Canis lupus familiaris: one gene and its partners. The protein of the gene in region 3 interacts with the protein of the main gene of each other region in a pairwise test. Links are inferred from orthologs where the notes say so. Each region holds a gene or a part of one and is shown on either strand. Other genes may lie near its edges.

The links.
Region 1: the proteins of KLHL42 (region 3) and SERTAD1 interact in binary tests that used the Homo sapiens proteins (3 or more experiments, as listed by UniProt). The two-hybrid records come from large-scale screens. The link is inferred for Canis lupus familiaris from reciprocal best matches to the Homo sapiens genes KLHL42 and SERTAD1.
Region 2: the proteins of KLHL42 (region 3) and STXBP4 interact in a two-hybrid assay, tested with the Homo sapiens proteins (2 studies listed by BioGRID and IntAct). The two-hybrid records come from large-scale screens. The link is inferred for Canis lupus familiaris from reciprocal best matches to the Homo sapiens genes KLHL42 and STXBP4.

The regions. Positions count from the first base shown.
Region 1 is NC_049222.1:114,052,878-114,057,108, forward strand, and holds the start of SERTAD1 (SERTA domain-containing protein 1), read left to right. Parts: upstream 1-1,422; 5' UTR 1,423-1,582; intron 1,583-2,034; exon of another isoform or gene 2,035-2,189; intron 2,190-3,280; coding exon 3,281-3,994; 3' UTR 3,995-4,231. UniProt on the Homo sapiens protein: Acts at E2F-responsive promoters as coregulator to integrate signals provided by PHD- and/or bromodomain-containing transcription factors. Stimulates E2F1/TFDP1 transcriptional activity.
Region 2 is NC_049230.1:30,036,643-30,040,853, reverse strand, and holds the start of STXBP4 (syntaxin-binding protein 4), read right to left. Parts: upstream 2,817-4,211; 5' UTR 2,683-2,816; intron 1,783-2,682; exon of another isoform or gene 1,638-1,782; intron 1-1,637. Other genes in the region: COX11 (cytochrome c oxidase assembly protein COX11, mitochondrial), read left to right, coding at 2,858-3,223. UniProt on the Homo sapiens protein: Plays a role in the translocation of transport vesicles from the cytoplasm to the plasma membrane. Inhibits the translocation of SLC2A4 from intracellular vesicles to the plasma membrane by STX4A binding and preventing the interaction between STX4A and VAMP2.
Region 3 is NC_049248.1:26,604,861-26,608,417, reverse strand, and holds part of KLHL42 (kelch-like protein 42), read right to left. Parts: intron 3,538-3,557; coding exon 3,344-3,537; intron 1-3,343. UniProt on the Homo sapiens protein: Substrate-specific adapter of a BCR (BTB-CUL3-RBX1) E3 ubiquitin-protein ligase complex required for mitotic progression and cytokinesis. The BCR(KLHL42) E3 ubiquitin ligase complex mediates the ubiquitination and subsequent degradation of KATNA1.

The DNA of each region.
Region 1 (4,231 bases), on a different chromosome or scaffold from region 3:
AATCAACTAGTTTAGTTAGCATTTTCTAGAGCTTACTTTGGCCAGGAACTCTATTCACAACAGTTCTTCCCACAATTCAAAAAGAGTTAGCAAATGAGCTACTTGGAGAAGTTAAGTCCCCTTGTCAGTTTACCAGACAAGCGTTAACTTCCTGTCTACCCATACCCGACCCCAGGTGTCCTGCCTTGAATTAAGCACCTGTGCTATAACCACAACAGCTATTACTACCAACAAAAGGACATGTTGTGCACCATTCTGAGCACTTTGTGGGATTATTTTTTTCTTTTTTTATTTATTTGAGAGAGAGCATGAGCAAGGGGGAGGGGTAGAGGGAGATGGAGAAGCAGACTCCCTGCTGAGTAGGGAGCCAGATGTGGGACTTGATCCCAGAACCCTAGGATCATGACCTGAGCCACCCACACGCCCCTCTTTTTTTCTTTTAGATCTTATTTTTATGAAATGTCTACACCTGGGACGCCTGGGTGGGTCAGCGGTTGAGCATCTATCTGCCTTTGCCTCAGGTCATGATCCTGGGATCTAGAATTGAATCTTGTTTGGGCTCCCACCAGGGAGCCTGCCTCTCCCTCTGCCTGTGTCTCTCATGAGTAAATAAATAAAATCTTAAAAAAAAAAAAAAAAAAAAGAATCTCTGCCCCCAGCGCGGGGGCCTTGAACTCATAACTTAGAGGTCAAGAGTCACATGCTCTCGACTGAGCCTGCCTCGGGCCCCTGTGTGATTATTCTTTTTAATCCTCAAAATACTCTCATTTTAAAAAGGTGAGGAAACTGAGACCTTTGGGATTAAAATTACTTGCCCAAGGTCACACAGCTACTTAGGGAATGGAGCCCAGGATGTGACTCCAGTGGCTCTATTCCTATCCCCACCGGCTCCCCCTCCCCCTCCTGTAACCACTATTGAGTCCAACTGCTCAGCATTTGCTTAGTGCGCTATGGTGCTCTTAAAGACACAACCTTATTTTAATTTTCCCGACTCTCAAGAGGTAGGCAAGAAGCTGTCCATTTAACAGACTTTGTGTGTGGCTCAGAGAGGTCCAAGGATTTTTTTTTCCCTAGATCGCACGTTGAGTAAGTGGTCAGAATTTGAACCCATGCTTATCTGGCTTAGAGTGCAGACCTCTGTTAGGACTGGGTCTGTAAGTTGCTCAATTGCTGGGTTTGGCAAATGTACGGGCAGGTGTGAGGGGCTCACACCTTGAGAAGGAAGAAACCCCTCCCAGCCACTGCCCCGCAGTGAACACAGCCACCCCACCTGGCCTCGGCTCCTTACACAGTCGCCAGGCATGCGCCCTGAAGCCACCCTCCCCTCCCTTCGAACCTTCCTTCTCCAGGCCCCGCCCATCACCGCCCAAGGCCAATCGCGGGCCGAGGGCGGGGCCACCGCGGGAGTGGGCGGTAGTTAAGGGGAGTCAGGAGCCTGGAGTCGTGCGCCGGAGTCAGAACTGCGTCTACCGACCCAGGCGCCGGCTGCTGAAGGAGAGCGAGCGAGCGATGCTGCCGTCGCCGCTCCCTGATTGGCTGCGCGTGGATCCCTCTTCGTTCTGATTGGCAGCGGGTGAGCTAGGTATGTAAATGAAGTGAAGGGGGCCGAGGCGAGAAGGGAAACCCGCGAGGGGGTCGTTTGGCAGGTTCGATCCCCGGGTCCGGCCGGTGCGCGCCGGGGCTGCCCGGGATCGAGATGCGCGGGCCCCCGAGTGTCGCCCGGCCGGGCTGGGTGAATCACGCCGCAGCCCGGGAAGGGGGCGGAGGCGCCGGCTCTCTGGCTCCGGCTGCGTGACTCACCCGCCCCCGCCGCCGCCGCCGCTTCGGGAGGAGCCGCCTCCACTGCCTGCCGGAAGCGAGCACAGGCCGAGAGAGCAGAACAGCCCTCGGGGTTCCCGGCCCGCACGGCCCTGCGCTGCGGGCAGGAACGACAGCCAGGACGTGGGGCCGTATCGAGGATCCCGGGGTCCGAGGGGCCGGAATCCCCGGGGAAAGCCGTTCTGGCGCCGCTAGGGGGCGCCGGGACGGGGGGGCGGAGTCCGGGGAGGGGGGCGCCTGAATTCCTGCGGTTCTGGACTCCCGGGTCTTCGGGGAAGGAGGCGAGGACCGTTTTGAGAAGTGTGAGGAGTCGCTTTTAAGGTCCTGTTGGGCAAGGGGATTGGAGCCTTCAAGCTTCCAGGCTCAAGAAAGTAAGTTGGGCCTGGCGTCCAGAACGCCAGGGGCCCCTATCTCGGGGAGAGTGTGGGTCCTCAAAGTTCTCTTGGTGACCCCCCGGTGCCGGTCAGGATTTCCCAGCGAGCCATGTCTACTCTGCCTCCCAAAGAAATCCGGAAGCAACCAACTTCTTTCCATGTCCACTGCCCTCCACCTTCCACTTCAGGCCCCCACCATCACCCGCCCCAGAGCGCGGTGGCCTCTGAATGGAGCTCAGGACCGCGCTCTTCCCCGTTTCCCTTCCTTTCACCCTCATCTAACTCGAAGCAGCCGAGGGGGGATCTTCTGGAAATCTAATCAGTTCACAACACCACCCGTGTTCCCTGCTCAAAATCCTTCAATGACACTCACAGTAAAATCCAAACTCCTTGCCTCTGCTTGCTCTCCAAACCCGGTCCCCTTCCGTGTCACTCTGCGCTGACCACACTGGTGTTTTATTTTGTTTTGTTTTGTTTTGTTTTTTTTCAGTTCATGCTCATCCAGCCTCCAGGTCTTTCTTTGCCCTTGTTGTTCTCTCTTCCCGGAATGCTTTCCCCTGGTCCTTCTGTGGGTGGCTCCTCCTGCTTGAGGAAGGGTCAGCTAAAATGTCACCTCGGAGGAGCCTTCCGTGACCACTCCCCAGAACCTTTGAATATCTTCCTAGCACACCTCTACATTTCCTGTATTTATTTATTTATTTGTCTGATGGGTAGTAGACAGTAAGTGTCGGATGGAACTATGTAAAACAGCTGCTTTCATGAGTTAAAAAGATTGAATTTTGGGCATTTCACATGGTTCACTGAAGAAATACATAATAATAGCTATTAAGAGTATTTGTTAATAAGAATCGTTACAATGTACTAGGCACTGTTGTAAGTGCTTTTTTGTACGTTACCACATTTACTCTATATAACAGCTCCATGAGGTAGATACTATGATCACTCATATCTTCAGGTTTCCCTAAGAAAGCACAGGTTCAAGAAATTAAATGGCCTGCTCAAGATCACACCAGACATAAGTTATCAGAGACAGGGTTTTTAACTTAACATTGACTTTCCATAACTGAATGACTCCTCCCTCCCTGCAGATGATGCTGAGCAAAGGTCTGAAGCGCAAGCGGGAGGAGGAGCGGGAGAAGGAAGCCCTGGCAGTGGACTCCTGGTGGCTGGATCCCAGCCTCCCAGCAGTGGCACAGGCCCCCCCGGCCGTGGCCTCCAGTTCCCTCTTGGACCTTTCTGTGCTCAAGCTCCACCACAGCCTGCGGCAGAGTGAGCCGGACCTGCGGCACCTGGTACTGGTAGTGAACACGCTGCGGCGCATCCAGGCATCCATGGCACCTGAACCTACCCTGCCACCTGTGCCCAGCCCGCCTGCGGCCCCTTGTGTGGCTGACAATCTGCTGGCCAGCTCAGACGCTGCCCTCTCAGCCTCCATGGCCAGCCTTCTGGAGGACCTCAGCCATATCGAGGGCCTGAGCCAGGCCCCCCAGCCCTTGGTGGACGAGGGGCCACCGGGCCGCCCCACTGGAGGATCCCCACCCAACCTGGGTGCCTTGGACCTGCTGGGCCCAGCCACTGGCTGTCTGCTGGACGATGAGCTTGAGGGTCTGTTTGAGGACATCGACACCTCTATGTATGACAGTGAACTTTGGGCACCAGCCTCCGAGGGCCTCAAACCTGGCCCTGAGGATGGGCCTGGCAAGGAGGAGGCTCTGGAACTGGATGAGGCTGAGCTGGACTACCTCCTGGACGTGTTGGTGGGCACACAGGCACTGGAGCGGCCACCGGGTCCAGGGCGCTGATCCCCACAACTGGGATGGTGGTCTGGTGTCCAAACTGAGCCTGGTGGCTGGACCAACTCTCCTTGGAAAGACACAGCTGGCTTCCTTAGAGCAGAGAGAGGGCCTTTGGAGAGACAGAATCCAGTCCTGAGCAACTTCACCTCTGTCCTCTTGTCTAGGACTAATGAGGGGAGTCTGGGATTGGCCCTTGGGATGGGATCACAGGGCCTGGTGGCTGGAATGTGATTTGGACCGGGC
Region 2 (4,211 bases), on a different chromosome or scaffold from region 3:
TAACAGATCCCAAGACAAAGACACTATTACTGATGTATTTATATGGCTATCTGTTGCTACGTATTGGGGGCCTGGAGGAAAAAAATGGCTAAGGGAATGTATTGTTGGTTTCAGTGACATTTATGTTTGCATGAGGTTTGAGTCTATGCTGTAAGAAACTTAATATATGACAGGTCTTATCCTGAAAAAGCTGATAATCTGGTATAAGAACTAAGGTAGATGAAAAAGATTTTCAAACACAAAACAATACAAATAAATTCGTAGAATCATAGCATTTTCAAGTTTTTGTGCCAAAGTAGGAAAGATTCAGAAGATATTTTTGGCTTTGCAATTTTCTGGCCCTGTGACAACAAGTTAATAATTACTCATATTCACTCAAGATGACCATCATTACTCACCTCAATTGCCTCCTAACTGCTCTACTTCCGTTTTTGCCCCCTTCCCTTTAATGTATTCTACACAACACAACCAAGGTCTTTTAAAAAATGTGAATCAGGAGGCACCTGGGTGGCTCAGTTGTTGACCATCTGCCTTTGGCTCAGGTCGTGATCCCTGGGTCTTGGGACAGAGACCCATGTTGGGCTTCATGCAAGGGAGCCTGCTTCTCCCTCTGCCTGTATCTCTGCTTCTCTCTGTGTCTCTAATGAATAAATAAAAGCTTTTAAAAAAATGTGAATTAGGGCCTGGGTGGCTTAGTGCTTGAGTGTCTGCCTTTGGCTCAGGTCATGATCCCAGGGTCCTGGGACGGAGACCCACGTTGGGCTCCCTGCTTAGCGGGAAGCCTGCTTCTTCCTCTCCCTGCTTGTATTCTCTGGCCCTCTGTCAAATAAATAAACAAAACCCTTTAAAACAAAAAGTGAATCAGGGATGCCTGGGTGGCTCAGCGGATGAGCGTCTACCTTTAGCTCAGGGTGTGATCCCAGGGTCCTGGGATCGAGTCCTACATCGGGCTTCCTGCAGGGAGCCTGATTCTCCCTCTGCCTCTCTTTGTGTCTCTCATGAATAAATGAATAAAATCTTTTAAAAAAAAATGTGGGATCAGACCATATCACCTGTATACTTCAACCTAAACTCTGTAGTAGTTTCCTATTACTTTCAGAATAAAATCCAAACCTTTAGATATGGCTTAAAATGGTCTGTATTATCTGGCCCCTAACCTACCTGTTTTGACCTTATTTCCTACTACTTTCCTCCCTATTCTCTATGCCAGGAACACAGTGGCCTTGTTTTTATTCTTCAATGCTATCTAGATCTTACTTGCCTCTGGGACTCTGTATGGTTTGGAATTGTCACCGTATAGGTAGGTTCCTTATCATCATTCAGGACTAGGCTCAAATGTCACACCTTCAGAAAGACTTCACTAACCCTTCTCATTATTATTCCCAATCACACTCTTCTATTGTCTCACTGTACTGTTATCTGAAATTCCCTCATTTATATATCTGTTACTTGATTATCTCCAGAATCCCTCAGTAAAAAGTACACTTCCTTAGAGAAGGGATTGTGTTTGCTTTTCTCTGTGCGGTAGCCTCAGTAAGTTTGAACAAGGTCTGGCTTGTGGAAAAGTGCAATAAATAAAATTTTTTTAGATTAAATGTTATTTATATGTGTCATCCATAAAGTGGGAATAATTATACCTGCACCAGTCATTAGAAAGAGAGTGTGATGGGACGCCTGGGTGGCTCAGTGGTTGACCGTCTGTCTGCCTTTGGCTCAGGTGGTGACCGCAGAGTCCTGGGATCGAGTCCTGCCTCGGGCTCCCCACGGGGAGCCTGCTTGTGTCTCTGCTGCTCTTTCTGTCTGTGTCTCTCATGAATAAAATAAATCTAAAAAAAAAAAAAAACCATAACACCCCCACACAAGAAAGGCAGCCTCACGTTTACTAGCTTTCCTAGGTCTCGGGCACAATGAAAATCACTTGATATGCATATTCTCGTTTACTCTTATGATTTCCGTTTTATTAACAAGGCCACCAGGACTGAGAGAGATGGAATAACTGGCCTAAGGACAGAAGGCCATAGTGGGATGCAGGCATCACCCCCGAGCTGCCAAACCTCAGAATGGGGGCTTTCATCAGCTCCTTTATAGTTCCTAGAAAGCTTTTTCCTTCCATTACAGCAAAGTAGGCCGTGCTGCCTCTCCCCTCAGGTCCTAGTGTGTCCTCTGGCTCAAGCGAAGAAGAGGTAGTACATCCCCGACAGGGTTCTCTTCCACGATGAACATCCCCCATTTCTTTCAATCCTGCCTTAAAGTATGTTCCTGTCTTGGTCACTCTCCTCTGGACAAACTCGTTTGACAACGTCTCTCTGCTCCAGGACTGGTCGTTTTCACCGGACAAGTGGTTAGAGGGCATCCGAAGAGAAGCGGAAGCCGATTCCCAGGGGCTGAGGGAACGCACACGTGTGTGAGTGCTGTTGTGCGCTGTGGTGAACACCAGGCAGGCTTCCTGGAAGAGGTGGTCCCTGAGCTCAAGTCCAGGGCAGTAAGCAGCGGGCCGGCGGCTGAGGGCCGCTAGGTCGAAACAAAGGATGGTGGAGTTTAGGAAGTTCAGAGATACGAGCCCAAACGATGAGGCGTTTGCACCCCCGCGGAGCGCATGGCGTTTCCCTCAGAGTAAGCTAGTATAAGGCGCCGGAGGGAAGCAAAGCGGGAGGAAAGTCATGAAGCAAAACGCGAACTTACCCGTAATCCGGCAACCGGGCCTCCGTAGCGCGACCGCAGGCGCCGCCACCTGAGGAGCCCTGTAGCCACGGCAGCCGCAAGCTCACCCCAGATGTCGCGAGACCGCGCAGGCCTCGCGAGATCTGCCGTCTCGTCCCCGACTCCGGGAGCTCTCTCCCCCCCACCCCCGGGCGCTATGGGAGGGCTCTGGCGTCCCCCGTGGAGACCCGTTGCCTTCTGTGGCTGGCGCTGGAGCCACCGTGGCTTCGCGGCCAGGGCCGCGGAGAGGGTAGTGCCCCGTCTCAGGCCGGGAACGAGTGGGGCAGGAGGTGCTGAGACGGCGCTGAGGCGCCTCGGGACCTGGAGGCGCCCGAGCCCGGCCCCGGAGCTGGCGCTGCAGCCCCCGCCGCGGCGGCCGAAGAGCACGAACCCTTTCACTCGCGCGCAGGAGGAGGACTGGCGGCGTCGGAACAAGACGGTGCTCACGTACGTGGCCGCGGCCGCCGTGGGCATGCTGGGAGCGTCCTACGCCGCTGTACCCCTTTATCGGCTGTATTGCCAGGTAGGGGCCGGCGCTGCCTCCCGGAGGGACGGCGGTCGCGCCTCCGCGTCCTGTCGGACGGGACGCCTGACGTTAGCCGCTACCTGAGAGGAAACGGGCTGTAGCGAGTACTTGCCGGCGCTTACCAGGAGTTAGTGGTAACGCTCCAAGTAGAAGCTAAGGCCCTGCGGCGAGCGTGCTTCTACCGACCTCCCTGCTGGGTGAGACCCTCCAGCCGTGCGCCTTGGCCTCTGCCCCTTCACACACGTGTTTGCTCCTGGAACGTACACTGCATCGGTACCTTCGTTCTGTGAAGCGTGTACGGTGTAGGTGCGAGGGGTAACCCTGGAAACGTGGGGGCTATGCTTGCAGATCGGTTTAATCCCCACACAGAAGCACGAGTCCGGCGTTTGGGGCTTCCCTCCACTGTTAAGCCCTGACCGCGACGTGCTTACTACCCAAGGCTCCCCTTTCGAGCAGAAACCCCAATGCGTTTGTTCCTCAGGTGTGGTTCCTGCGGAGGACCAGCGTCCCATCACCTGGGAACTTGAGTGCACCGTGTTGGGTGAAAAACTCCACAGAGCCGCTGAATCAGAAACTCTGGGGGAGGGGCCCAGCATTCCGTGACTTAATAAGTCCCTGAGGGGATTTCGGTTCGGTGCACAATAATATTTGACGACCATAAACAAAGGCAGACATTATGTCGCATTGGTTCTCCTTCATTCTTAAAGTGGAGATTTTGCTGCTTTCTCTAAGCGTTACCGTTCGCTAGTGGAGCTGCTTTAATAAACCCGTTAGGGCTCCCTTAACACCAGAGACTCTGGTTAGGAGTTCTGAGAAGGGGCCAGGAGTTTGTTCAAAAAACCTAAGTGAGAGCTACATTCATTTCATTCACTAAGTATTTCCTAAGTGGTTCTCCCAACTCTTCGTTTTGATGAGAGGAACTCATCTGGAGAACTTTTAAAAATCCCGACATCCAGGTCACATCCCTAAGCAGTTAAATCAGAAT
Region 3 (3,557 bases):
GAGGAACATTTGGGGGGCTCAGTGGTTGAGCATCAGCCTTGGGCTCAGCTCAGTGATCCCAGGGTCCTGGGATCAAGTCCCACATCGGGCTCCCTGCAGGGAGCCTGCTTCTCCTTCTATGTCTCTGCTTCTCTCTGTCTCTCATGAATGAATGAATAAATGAATGAATAAATAAATAAATCTTAAAAAAAAAAAAGAACTAGAAGGAGACTGAACCTTTCGTTTACCACATGTCCCCATGCCTGTAGAAATTTCAGAACTGCTACAGCTTTAGGAAACTGTCCTTTTTTTCCACCCACATTAATACCTCCCTACCTTTCTTTTTATTGTAGCTACTGTGATAAAACTCATTCTGGAGACAGTCCAAGGGAGTTTGGTTCCAATCTATCAAAAAGTGCTCCTTAGTAACCTGGCTTTCCCTCCACATGAATAAAGGACTTATTCTAGTGAGGCTTCCATGGATTTCTCAGTCCCTGGTCTGAAGGTCTTCCCAGGTCTTCTGTAAATGTTTTTTCTCCTCACCCAACAAGGGCTCAGACCATGATGAGGTGGTTTGAGTTGGTGGAATACTCTTTTTGCTTTTACATTTGGAGGTGATTCTGAACTTTAACAAATCACCCTTCTTCCCTGGAGTGGTTACTATTGCTTTCTATTGAATTTTTCATTTCCTCAGTGCCTGCTACAGAATTAATATAATCAAACAGCTATCATAAAAATTGTGAATTACTTACTAAATTTTAAAGTCTACCTAACTTAAGAAGTTAGCAGGCTAATAACCCAACTTTGAGCCCTGCATTTGTTCATAAAACAAAACAATTCTGATTTCTTATTCTAAATACAGGTAACTATTAGGAAGTGCTGAGAAGATCCCAAACAGAAGAGGAGGGGAATTTCAGAGTACAAGGAACTGTCCTGCCCTCTCATCTCAGAAAACCCATTTTCAACCTTTACACAAACATCCATCCATCCACATCACCCAACCATCCCATCACAGGTATTTGGCTTGGGGAACCCGAGACAGGAATCACCGTGGGTGGCCCAAGTGAAGAAGGTATATTAGTAGTGGCTTGAGAAACTAGAAAACACACAAGCAAGGGTTTTCCAGGTCAGATCTAAAGAACATTTGCTCAGCCAGGCCATGGAAGAACTAGGAAATCTACCAGCAGGGTACTCTTTGGGCTACAGTACTGCCTGTCAGTGTTTCCCAGCTCCTGGTCACAAGAGAAGCCAAGGGTTATGTGTGCATTATGTCAGCCCAAAGGGTGCTTTCTGTGTGACAAAATCTAGGGAGCAATCAGAATTCTTAGAAATGTTCAAAAGTAAATAACTGTATTTACTTTCCTAGGAGAAAAAGGCACACAGACACACACAGAGGTACATATGCACTCACAGGAATTCTCTGGGGGCTATGGTTTCGTTAAGCATATGAAGTTGACCGCTGTACCTGAACACCAATATTGAAGGTAAAAGAAATGACTCTTAGGTCTCTCTCTGTCTCTTTATTTATTTTTTCACCCAATTATCTATAACCAAAAAAAGCTGGCAATTATCTTATCTTCAGTAGAATGTCACTAGGGAGGGACATTGAGAATAGCTCCACAGTGATGAAAATCTGAGGGCATTATAAAAAAAAAAAAAAACAACTCCCTGTTTCCCATGGTCACTGCCCCTCCTTAAATGCATAAACACAGCACCTGTAGTGAGTTCAACAGGCCCCCAAAAAGATATGTTTACTCCCTAACCCCAAAACCTTTGAATGTGACCTTACTTGGAAAAAGGGACTTTGTACCTTTCAATGAAGTTTAGGATTTCACGATGAGATCATCCTAGATAACCCAGGGGGGCTATAAAATCCAATGAGGAATGTGTCTTTATAAAAGACAGAAGAGGAAAAGACGTAGATATGCTCAGAGGAGAAGGTGTGTGAAGATGGAGGTAGAGCCTGCAGGGATGCAGCCACCAGCCAAGGAACACCTGGAATCACCAAAGATGGAAGAGGCAGGGAAGGACTCTCCCCTAGCGCCTTCAAAAGGGATGTGACTTCCCACACCTTGACTTCAGATTTCTGGCTTCTAGAAATTGTCTTAGGCCACCAAGTTGTAGTTGTTGGTTAAGTCAGCCATAGGAAACTAAAACACCACTCACCATCCTCCCTTCCACAGCCAACTGTTTAGAGATACTTTAAGAAGTGTTACTCAGAATCTTTTGCACATGTCCGTGCGCGCGCGCACACACACACACACACACACAGTAAATCAGATGCTCATAAAACATCTATTGACAGAACTTCTTCCTCTAATATAAATCCCCCAAACAAGACACATTTGGCTACAGTAAGAAGAATTTTTGGCACCTATATTAGCATGTGGATTTTTGTCCTTTACAAAGTGATGTATCAGTAACCTCTCTCCATACCTGTCAGCAGGGCTGGAGAACTCTGTCCTCCCATATTATAGCATAAAGGAGAGACAGGTTATTTCACTATGTCAGATATAATGGTAACTCTACTACTACAATGGGGCTAAAAGTCCCATGAGTCTAGTTATACCTTTTCTGTAAGTTCTGGGCATTTTACAATCAGATAAACCAAATGAAGAAATAAATTTCCTTGGCCAAGAGGTAACTTGGACACAATTGGAGGGAGATAAAGGGAAAGGCACACCTCTTCCTGGTGGCCCACCACTGCCTCTCTTAACACAGTCAAGCTTTTTTTTTTTTTTTTTTTATCACTATCATGTGAGATGCTTCCTACCAAGAACATCACTATAAAACCTACTGGAGAAACTTATTCCCAAATTATCAACTACCAAATAGCCACCAAAAAAAAAAGTACAGTTTAATAAACAGTACAACCACCTCCCACCTCTGGGAGGAGGTCAGGAAAGAATGGTCTTATATTCATGTCTTTTATAATCCTCTTAGGATATGTGAACAACAGCCTAGCACTGAGTTTCTGTAAATTATGTCTGATATATTTGTATTCAAGAAGGAAGAAAGTGAAAACAAAGATCTGCAGAATGTTCTAGCCCTAAATTACATAGTGTTAAATGTGTTTGGGAGAAGGTTGGGAGTTGCCCAGTCAAGTCACAAGACAGCTGGCCAGAACAGAAAGAAAACATATATTCTCTTCATAGCATCCTCTACCCCATTCAATTTTCATGATCACACAAAGGCATCAAAGGTCCCCTCCCTTCCAAAACACCCCTGTAGTATACAACTCTCTTCTTCCAGATATGTAAATGTCCAGTATATAATGTATTAAATTACACCAAAGTGTTTCTTTTGGCACCCTCCTGCCCTTCTCCAGGCTGCCGAAGCTCATAGAAGAGGACCACATACTTACCTCTGGTAGTATATCCTCCAATGACATAAATTTTTCCCTTACACTCACACGCAGAGAACTCAGCCAGAGGATTTGGTAAGGGTGCCACAAAATTCCAGGCATCCTGCTCAGGATTGTAACACTCAACATTAGAAACGGCCTGCCCACCAATGGCATAGAGTTTTGAATTAACGGCCACAAGCTTGAAATTAGACCTGAAAGAGAGACACAAAGG